Linked DNA regions of Oryzias latipes. The protein of the gene in region 3 binds, or shares a complex with, the protein of the main gene of each other region. Links are inferred from orthologs where the notes say so. Each region holds a gene or a part of one and is shown on either strand. Other genes may lie near its edges.

Region 1 (3,500 bases), on a different chromosome or scaffold from region 3:
CATAAAAGGATGTAGTTAAAATTTAAAGTTAGTTTTGGTAAATTACTTCTCTATTAAAATGTTTTCAGATTGAATTTTAGACATTCTCATGTTTTGGACTTTTTCATTAATCATCATTTATTTTATCTTTATCATTCATCATTAGTTTTTATTTTATACCTATTTATCAACATATCCTACATGCTGATCATAATTCTAAGTACCATTTTTAGCAGTAAAAAACATGAAATGATCTGCAAAGGCGTTACTAACTTTTCATGAGTTTGTCAGACAGATCTCGCAGAGTGCTGCTGGACTGGCCCTTACAGGGCGTCCCCGCCCTGGAGGTCGCCTGCCTGTTGGGGGTGTCTGCTCGCGGCGTGCTAGGTCTCAGCCCAGCCTCTGTGCTGGAGGGTTCCCGCCACTCAGACGTTACTGCGTTACCTTCTCTGGAAATGTTGGGGTCGCTAGGCGTGCTCTGCACCAGCGTTTGGGGGTCAGACCCTTCTGGAGAGACGGGGACGGGCTCGGCTAGCGAGCTGTGTTTGACCGAGTTGAGGCTGTGCGCTCGGACTCGCGACCAGCTGGTAGAGCGGAAACTCTCGGCCTCCAGCCAGAACCGAACCAGATGGTCGGCGCCCCGTTGCTCCATGTAATGCATGAAGTGGGGCAGCGCCACGTTGTCCTGAAGGACCTGGTCCGCCGATTTGGACAACCGGGAGCGCGTCTCCTGGGGCTGATAGTTCACACTAGAGTGACCTGAAGGGGAAAACAATTGTAGTTGGGTCAACTTAACTACAACAGCAAAAATATTTATGCACATATAAATTACAAATACGGTTAACGAAGTAGAGAAAAATAAAAAACTCAATCTGTACCTTAGGGATGGAAAAACGAACACCCAAAAAAATCCATAGTACATTTTTCCTTTGTGAAAAGTACAATTTATTTCCTATAGGTTTTCCTCATTTCAACCCTGAGTCCACACAAGGCTTAAGACCAACTTTAGAGGCAATATTGTTAGTGAAAATACAAAAAGCCATAAACACAATCCTGGATCAACTATAATAATGCATCTATATGTCTGTTCATTGGTGCGTTTACAAAAGCAGCAACTATCAATCCAATCCCCTCCAGATCATGTGACCCTGAAGAAAACATCTGCTGGCTTTGCTGACGTTAGTCATTTCACACTGAACTGAAGGTGAGCTCTGAAGTCTGCATTTAGAAAACAATAGTTTCCATTGATCACAAACTTGCTTTAATTGAACCAAAACATTTTCATGTTCTTCAGGCTAAGAAACGTCATTTGCTGTTCCAGTTAATTTGGTTTATAAATCCAAAAACGTTTGCATTCACGTGTACCTCTGCACATTTTAAAGACAGCTTTCGGGCTTTAAGTACAAAACCCGCGTCAGTTGAACATGCGTTGAAAGTTAAACGAGGTCGAACGTTGACCAATAAGGACCCGGATTTAGATGATAATCACAGAAGTGCAACTGTCTGAACATTGACCATTGTAGAAAAATGTATAATTGCAGTTTTTGTCCGGACAGAATTCTACGACACCGAGTCTTTCACATATCGGAATAAAGCTGTGAAAGGAAAAAGCCTGGAGGAGGCGCTTCAACATTTCACACCAAGCCTCTCCCAACTGTAGGTGGCCGACATGAGTTAGTAAAGAGTTGCTAAAGCAAAAGAAGCAGCCCCCCCCCCCCCCCCCCCCCCCCGCTAGTCCAGTGTGGACACCACGGGCACCACATTCAAGGACCCCTGTTCAGTGCGTCCGTCACGTGCCTGGTGTAAAAGTAACCTGAAAAAATCCTGTCTGTGAGATCCTTTCTGTGAGCACGAACAGCTCTAAAGTTCTGACCTGATAATAATCTAAACTAGCTGGTAGCAGCTGGCCCAAACAGGCCTGAAGGGCGACCCTCCACACTTACCACCCATTGGCGTGGAACTCAAACTGTCCCTGACATTTGCTGTCCTCTCACAGATCTGTAGTTAGTTGTTGTTGTTTTTTTCATCAATTCTGATCTACAAATAAAACCCAACTACTGTCAACTGACAGCTTGTGACAGGTAGAACTATTTTTGTTTATCTCGAGCCACACAGAGAGAAACATCATTTTTTGTTGTTCAAGACGCAACGAAAAACTGCAAACAAACCGAGTTGTTTGAAAGCATCTCTAGAGAAAAAGTATTTTTTTTATAAAAGCCACATCAAGGAAAGCAACTCCACGGCAGTGAGTAGACAGAAGAAACGGGTCAGTTTCAACTAACCAGAATGTTAAGAACATGTTCAAAATTCTAAATTCATATCAGAACTTTATGATCCAGACCATAAATGATGTTAGGGCTGATGTTTATGGAGAAAAAACACACCAACACTACAGCGAGGAATCCCGATCTGCTGTATATTCATCCATTACAGTCAGCTGTTGTCACTCTGAGACCAAAAAGACCACTGCCTGAAAGAGAACCCTAGACTTTCCAGGACCTGGAAGCATTTGGACAAGAAGGAAGGAGAAAGCAGTCGCTGATGCTCCAGACCCAAAGAGGCTCCAGGTCATTTTGTGCAAGTTCAGAACAAGTTTAAGGTCTCAGGGTCAAAGGTTCTTTTCACAGAACTTTGTGTTTTTAGGCTCACAAATCAGACAACAGCAACCCAAGAGACGTTGTCTGTTTGATCTGGCAAGAATGCCCCGTGTCTTTTTATGCATCGCAGTTCAGTTGGAAAATAAAACAACAGTTTTGTCGGATTACTTCTAGTTTAATGAAAATGTACTTTTACTACAGTAAATTTCCAGAGTACGTCCATTTATGAGACATGAGGGAGCTTCTGCTGCAGTAAGGCTGAGTTTCTGGCAGCATGGTGTGCTCACTGCTGCTCTGATATAAGATCCCAATCAACCCCACCCTGACACTGAACGGCTGCCACACAAACACCGACTCCTCCAGAGAGGGCTTCACTAAAAACCTGAGGTCCTACATGAAACCTGGGATGGTTCAGGAGGAAGTTTCTCTTCCTCAGTCTTCTTCTGTTGCTTTATAGAGCTTAAAAATGGAACAAAAGTGACCACAGAGCAGCAGCAAACAGGCGCCGTCGGTTTGTTGTCGGGGCTGCAGCACAGGTTTCTCCACCTCTGTCTGACTCGCACCACCTCTCACCGCGCATTGTCTCCACGGCCTTTTGTCATCCAGCAGCCCAACTATAAAGAGCATCGGAGTTAAACAAAGGAAAAAGGAAGGAGGTTTGTTCAAAGTCTGACTGAGGGGTGACGTGAACTCCCACAGCTCATTAACTCTGCAAGATTTCACACCACCGTACAAGTTACAGATTTACACTTCTGTGGTTACCACAGAAACTAACCTTTTTTTTTTAATTATTTTTAAAGGACCTCACATCGTGTGTCTTTTTTCAAATTTTAAAGATGTTTTTTAACTTCTTCTGATTCACGGTTAATTCTACTAAACACGTTTGGCCCCTTTCAACACTTTCCTTCTTGTCTTCCTTCTTCA
Region 2 (2,350 bases), about 20 Mb from region 3:
AGTCCTAATGATAGAAATGCCATGTTTGACTTACCTTCATTTTCAATTCAAGTTAATCTGCCTCAGCAGGAGGATCTTATTTGAGACGGGGTGTATTTTATTATGAAAGGAACATATATGTACTGCAGTCTAAAGTAAAACAATAACGAGAAACAAATATATCTAAATAAGATAAACAGTGGGGGACTTTGAGGAAGTTTTAACCCCTTGCAAGATGTGCAAAAATCTTCAGAAATTCCTTTTATGCAGCATTCAAACGATCGGGTCTGATGTCACATTCCTGAAGCAGGATTTGTTTGGTTTTTTCTTTCAGGCTCCATCCAACATGAAGTCAGTCCTGCAGGCCGGCTGGCTGCTCACCGTTGCATTTGGGAATGTGATCGTGCTGATTGTGGCAGAGGGGGCGGGGCTGGAACAGGTACAAACAGGTCGCTTAGAAATGAGTCAAAAAATTCTTACATTGGCAAATTTTCTGTAACCCTTGTGCTATCCTAGGCACTTTAACATTGGGAGTTGGGTCATCTAGACCCACTAGACAGTGCTCTAGACCTTTTTTCTTCAATGATTTGTGATCTTCACTGGTGTCCATGGATTACATGAAATCTTTCCACCTTTATCATGGTAGGGAGAACACATCAATGTAAGGGTGGGGTCATCTAAGATAGCACAAGGGTTAAAATCTGCCAATGGGCTAAGAAAAAAGGGTCTCACCAAGAATTCTTATTTAAAAAAAGGCTTTTAGTCTCTAAGACATGTTTCTCCAACTATTTTGCTTTAAAAAAAAACTTTCTGGATAAGACAATTTTTCTTGCCAGTCGGTGAGACATTTTGTCTTGAATCAAGGCTCTTTTACTTTCTAAAGATTGGGTTTGACGGACACCATGATGTCCCTATAAGTTCTTTTGCCGTCCTGCATGCAGCAGCAGCAGCAGCAGCTCCATAAGCAAGAACCTTTTCTGTCTCCTCAGTGGAAAGAGTTCGTACTGTTTGCCGCCCTCCTGCTGGGCGTCTGCATCATTTTCTCAGTCATGTCCATTTTCTACAAGTACGTTGAGCCAGAAAACATGGACAAGATTAACCTGGAGGACACGAAGGAAGAAGATGAGGGTGACGGGAAGAAGAGCAGCATGATGCTAGACAAAACTGGGAAGAGCACCAAATTGTAAAATTTTCTTACCTTTTTTAAAGCACCTTTGTTTTAATTTGACTCGTGTCGTGGTGTTATTTTTTTTTAAAAACCTAATGTGACACGGCTGCTTGACAATTCCTGTAGTTCAGTAAATAAATTCTGAAGGACAGCACAAGAGAAGTTTAAAAGATCTTTTTTAGATTGATCAGTACAGCCATTCCTATGTGTTATGTTGTATATTGGTTTGTTTTTAGGTAAAATTGTAATCATAGGCTATTCTTTGACAAACAGCATCTGACTGATGATTTTACAACATGTATCGCATATTTTTCATGAAGCTTTGATGTAACATAACGTTTGAGGACAGATTTGCAAGAAAATCTAAAATTCAGTTTCCTTTGAGAAATAATTTCTTCGGGGCTTAACTGATATTAGCAACTGTTTGATTTAGGCAATTCCAGAATAACAAAACCTCCCCGTTCATTAGGAGGAGTTTGAATTTTACTTACAAACACAAAAAAACATTTATTCAGCTGGTTGTGTCAGAGAATTCTTGTTCAAGCAGACTCCATCTGATGGTGGACGGGGACGTTTTTGCTGTTGGGCAGAAATGCGATGAAGAATGGTGTGCTTTGAATCAGAAAAAGCTTGTAAAGATTTCAAAACGAGACATATAAACAAACCTTGTATATGTATGTAAATAAATGTGACTGGAATGTCATTTAGTCCTCTTTTTTGTTTTTTAAATGCCATCTAGAACCTTCAAACTTGAAAAACTCAGCACAAACTGACAGAACTTCCCCTGATTTTTGTGCCTGGGTTGCAAAACAAAGTAGAATGAATCACATTAATATGATCGTCCGTCTGCCCTGTGACAGTCCAGGGAACAAATGCAAGCCTCACTAACATGATATATGCAATTGCTCGCTTTATTAGCATACAAACGTGATACAAGTGGTCATTTTTCTAGTTCTTGGTGCTCCAAACATGATTAGCATAATGAGAGATGGAAATGTTGGAGCTCCTTAATGGTTTGCTTGTGTTGTCTGAACATCTGCGGTCCATTTGTGGACCTGGGGCTAGAAAAGAAAACATTTAAGGCATATTTAGTTGGATTGAAACTGGGCTGGAAGGGATTTCTTCAAGTAAATTTTGGCAGATGAGCATCAAAGCGGATTTTTGTGCCTTTCCAAGAGAAGCTCTGTGACACGGCCGACGATC
Region 3 (3,500 bases):
ACTGTATAGTTGTGTTCGCCATTTTTTCGGGGTGTCCAAATCTACAATTCCATCATTTAGTGCTCTAGTAATTTCCCAGAAGTCTCTGCAAAAAACTAGTGCAGATCGATTCTTACTAGGTTGCCAAATATAGACCATAATGCATTGCGTTTGAAAGATTTTTCATTTCAAAACAAAAGAAGTTTTCATCATCAGAACACAGTGGATTCATTGTAAAATGTTCATATTTATTAGGTTTTTACTTCGGGAAGTCGTTACTCAGTACACATGGTTTTCGGATCGCTTTTCAAATCCAGGGCACAAGAAATCTCTGCATGACATCTTTTTTAGAAGTTAGGGCATGAGTGGGCAAACTTTTTCACCCCTGGGCCACAAAGTGTTCTACAGTATAATTTGACAGAAGGGCCGAAGCAGGAGCAGATGCATGGAGTGTTTTGGTGATCCACTTAATTATATATAGAAATAACATGGAAACTGAACAAAAACATGCTTTTGTCATGATTGACATTCAGTGTATATGTTTTTCTAAACAAAGCCTTTTGGAGTTATTTGTTCTAATTTTAGTGGTGATTGCACCAATGGGTCGATGCCCCTCAGGGGAAAACGCAAACTGAGAAAAATGCTGCGTTTAAGTCGTGTTGGAACGATCGGAAAATAACACACATGAATGTCAGAGAAACAACCAATTTTCCAACACCACATGAATGCAAAGTAATAGGTTTCTGGACCTGAACAAAGGTCAATGAAGTTGTTGTGCACCATGTAGAGCGACCCAATGGTGGTCCATGAGATCTACCACTCGGCGTGTTTTCCAGTTCTCTCTTGACTGCTTTCTGCTGATTAGCTGACTCAGGTGTCACCTTATTCTTATTGGCTGAACACCTGGGCCAGGGAGAAAGTGCAACGAGCTGCAAAGCAGACAGAATGGTAGATCTTGAGGAACAGGATTGGGCAGGCCTGGGATTATCCAAATAATTTATTCCAGATTAAATATTTGCCCCCGGGCCATAGTTTGTCCACCCCTGAGTTAGGGGGTAGAGAGGGAATCCACATATAGCCTTTCTAACTGTATTAATGATGAAAGTCAAACTGCTGCAAAACATTTTTAGGACCTGAAAAGGTCAAAGAGCATGCTGGAAGGTGGAAAGAGAAATGTACTGTGAAGTATCACTAGCATCCCAACAAGTCTTTTTCTGTCTAAATGGTGGCTAAAATGTTGCTTTTTGTTGTTGTTTTTACACTGATTTCTAGATGAGGAGGGTCTGTTCATTACAGAAGTGAGCCCAGGAGGCGTGGCACACAAGGCAGGCGTCAGAGCCAAAGACCGCCTGCTGGAGGTTAACGGAGAGAATGTGGAAGACTGCACACACGAACAGGTGGTGAATAAAATCAAACAAGCCGGGAACACCCTTATGTTTCTGCTGCTCGACGAGGACGCAGACAAGGTCTGCAGGAGCCAATATGCAAAAATGGGGTCGCGGTTGGCCACCGTCAAGTTTCTCCCTCACAAACCGCGTCTCGTCAACCTGACTAAAGGACCTGACGGATTTGGCTTCGTGCTCAGAGAGGAGCCCAAACAAGCAGGCAAGGCCACAATAATATAATGTTTTTTATAGCTTAATCCTTTAAGCCATATGAGCCGGCCTGTGCTTCCAAAGAACCGCAGAAATAATCATCCCCAATAAAAAAAAATTTAATAAATAAAGTCCTAAAATGATACCTAGACATCCAGAACATGCATTGTATATTCTGGTTTCATGGACTTTGGTTTACCTTTTGGATTTTAACTTAAAGTTTAAGGGGTAAAGAAGGAAGTTGTGGTTTGATATTTGTTCCTTGATTCCATACAGGACACTTCATAAAGGACATAGACAGAGACAGTCCAGCAGGAAGAGCAGGACTGAAAGAAATGGACCGACTGGTTGCAGTGGACGGCAAGGAGGTGGACAACTGCAGCCATGAGCAGGTGGTGGAAATGTTCAGGCAAGGTGGTGGTGAGTGCTGCCTCCTTGTGGTGGATCAAGAAACAGACCAAATGTATAAACTGGTGAGTTGTTCTCCATCTTCAACTGTGTTTGTCCTGTGAGAGAAACTGCTTTAGTAATATGCTTTGTGTGTCACAGGGGAAAGTTTCTCCTATGCTCTTCTGGGAGGAGATGAAGGATTCCAACTTACCCCCCAGTTACACAGAGGTTATGAACACAGCGACACCGGCCCAACCCGATGAAAAAGAGGAGGAAGACCTGAAGCCAAAGTTGTGTAGGATGGAGAAGAGTTCTGACGGCTATGGCTTTCACCTGAACGGCATTCAAGGCGTGTTTGGACAGTTCATCAAGGAGGTGAGATTAACAAGAAGGTTCCTCCATGACTAATAAAAAAAACCAGGTGATAAAACCTCCCTTGTTTTAGGTGGTGAAGGGAGGAGCGGCTGACAGAGCAGGTCTGGAGGACGACGACATGGTCGTGGAGGTAAATGGAGTGAATGTGGAGCAAAGTGGACACCAGGAGGTGGTGGAAATGATCCGCAGGAGTGGCAACTCACTGGAGATGCTGGTGGCCAGGAAGAGTGTTTATGACCAGCTCAAAGCCAAAGGAGTAAGCATCACACGCATGCTGCTTGGGGAAGAACCCAAGAGTCAAGAACCCAAGAGTCAAGAACACAGTCCAGAAACCAGCAAGAAAGAGATAGAAAGACCAGAGAGTCCAGCTGAACCTGCAAAACAGAGGGTGAGTCTATGTAACATCTAAAAAGAAGAGATCATGTTGATTTACTTATACTCCATGAGAAAAAATACTTTTAATCTGAAAGGATCGTAGCGTCAAGCAAATAAACTGGGTCAAGATTTTCTTTCCCTGGCGCTAAGAAACGTAAATGTTGAACCAAGAACCTGGTTTAGATGTTTTTTTAGCAGCAAAAGCTGAAGAAGCCATGTTATTTAGGACAAAATATTTGTCTTCACTAAATTGTATATTTTCATCAGGTTTGGGTGAAATTTAGATGCACATTTATTTGAAGCCTTCGATTCTAAAACTCACAGTTTCCACAGGGAAACATGAATCCAGTGGTACGACTTTGGTAACATTTGCTGAATAAACAAGACAATGAAAAACTGAATCACTGTAGCATTTCAGAGAATAATACAAATCCATTTGCTTTCAAATAACATCAATTATTTCTCTTTTCGCAAACCTTTAGGTCCAAATAGGTCAAACTTAAGTCCTGAGGGGTCCCTCTCAGTTTTAATATCTTCATTAAATTGTATAAAATATGTAGCGGTATAATTTTTTCTTTGCTCTTTTGTATCAGATAAATTGGAAGACTGAAAATAATCCATATTTGATGAAAAAAAGAACCCTAAAATAGAAATGGGCCAATTGTATTACAAACAAGGGAATCTATTCATAAATAACAAAAAAGGATTGACAAATTAATGTAAATTTACCTTTTATTATTTATTCTAAATTAGTTTTTTTTACAAAACATCATCATACTTAACAGT

What was found.
Region 1: the proteins of pdzk1 (region 3) and akap10 are in contact, whole or in part, in a crystal structure (PDB 3TMH), measured with the Homo sapiens proteins. The link is inferred for Oryzias latipes from reciprocal best matches to the Homo sapiens genes PDZK1 and AKAP10. Residues at the interface, in NP_001188254.1 of Homo sapiens: Asn386, Gly387, Tyr388, Gly389, Phe390, His391, Leu392, Asn393, Ala394, Ile395, Arg396, Phe402, Lys404, Tyr436, Glu437, Val440, Ile443, Gln444; in NP_009133.2 of Homo sapiens: Pro655, Leu656, Glu657, Lys658, Ser659, Thr660, Lys661, Leu662.
Region 2: the proteins of pdzk1 (region 3) and solute carrier family 15 member 2 are in contact, whole or in part, in a crystal structure (PDB 6EZI), measured with the Homo sapiens proteins. The link is inferred for Oryzias latipes from reciprocal best matches to the Homo sapiens genes PDZK1 and SLC15A2. Residues at the interface, in NP_001188254.1 of Homo sapiens: Asn386, Gly387, Tyr388, Gly389, Phe390, His391, Leu392, Asn393, Ala394, Ile395, Arg396, Gln407, Tyr436, Glu437, Val440, Ile443, Gln444; in NP_066568.3 of Homo sapiens: Glu723, Thr724, Lys725, Lys726, Thr727, Lys728, Leu729.

The regions. Positions count from the first base shown.
Region 1 is NC_019872.2:20,167,087-20,170,586, forward strand, and holds part of akap10 (A-kinase anchor protein 10, mitochondrial), read right to left. Parts: intron 739-3,500; coding exon 253-738; intron 1-252. UniProt on the Homo sapiens protein: Differentially targeted protein that binds to type I and II regulatory subunits of protein kinase A and anchors them to the mitochondria or the plasma membrane.
Region 2 is NC_019879.2:4,892,525-4,894,874, reverse strand, and holds the end of solute carrier family 15 member 2, read left to right. Parts: intron 1-313; coding exon 314-418; intron 419-968; coding exon 969-1,166; 3' UTR 1,167-1,850; downstream 1,851-2,350. Other genes in the region: hspbap1 (HSPB1-associated protein 1), read right to left, coding at 2,296-2,350. UniProt on the Homo sapiens protein: Proton-coupled amino-acid transporter that transports oligopeptides of 2 to 4 amino acids with a preference for dipeptides. Transports neutral and anionic dipeptides with a proton to peptide stoichiometry of 2:1 or 3:1.
Region 3 is NC_019879.2:25,365,845-25,369,344, reverse strand, and holds part of pdzk1 (Na(+)/H(+) exchange regulatory cofactor NHE-RF3), read left to right. Parts: intron 1-1,251; coding exon 1,252-1,584; intron 1,585-1,850; coding exon 1,851-2,047; intron 2,048-2,123; coding exon 2,124-2,339; intron 2,340-2,409; coding exon 2,410-2,727; intron 2,728-3,500. UniProt on the Homo sapiens protein: A scaffold protein that connects plasma membrane proteins and regulatory components, regulating their surface expression in epithelial cells apical domains.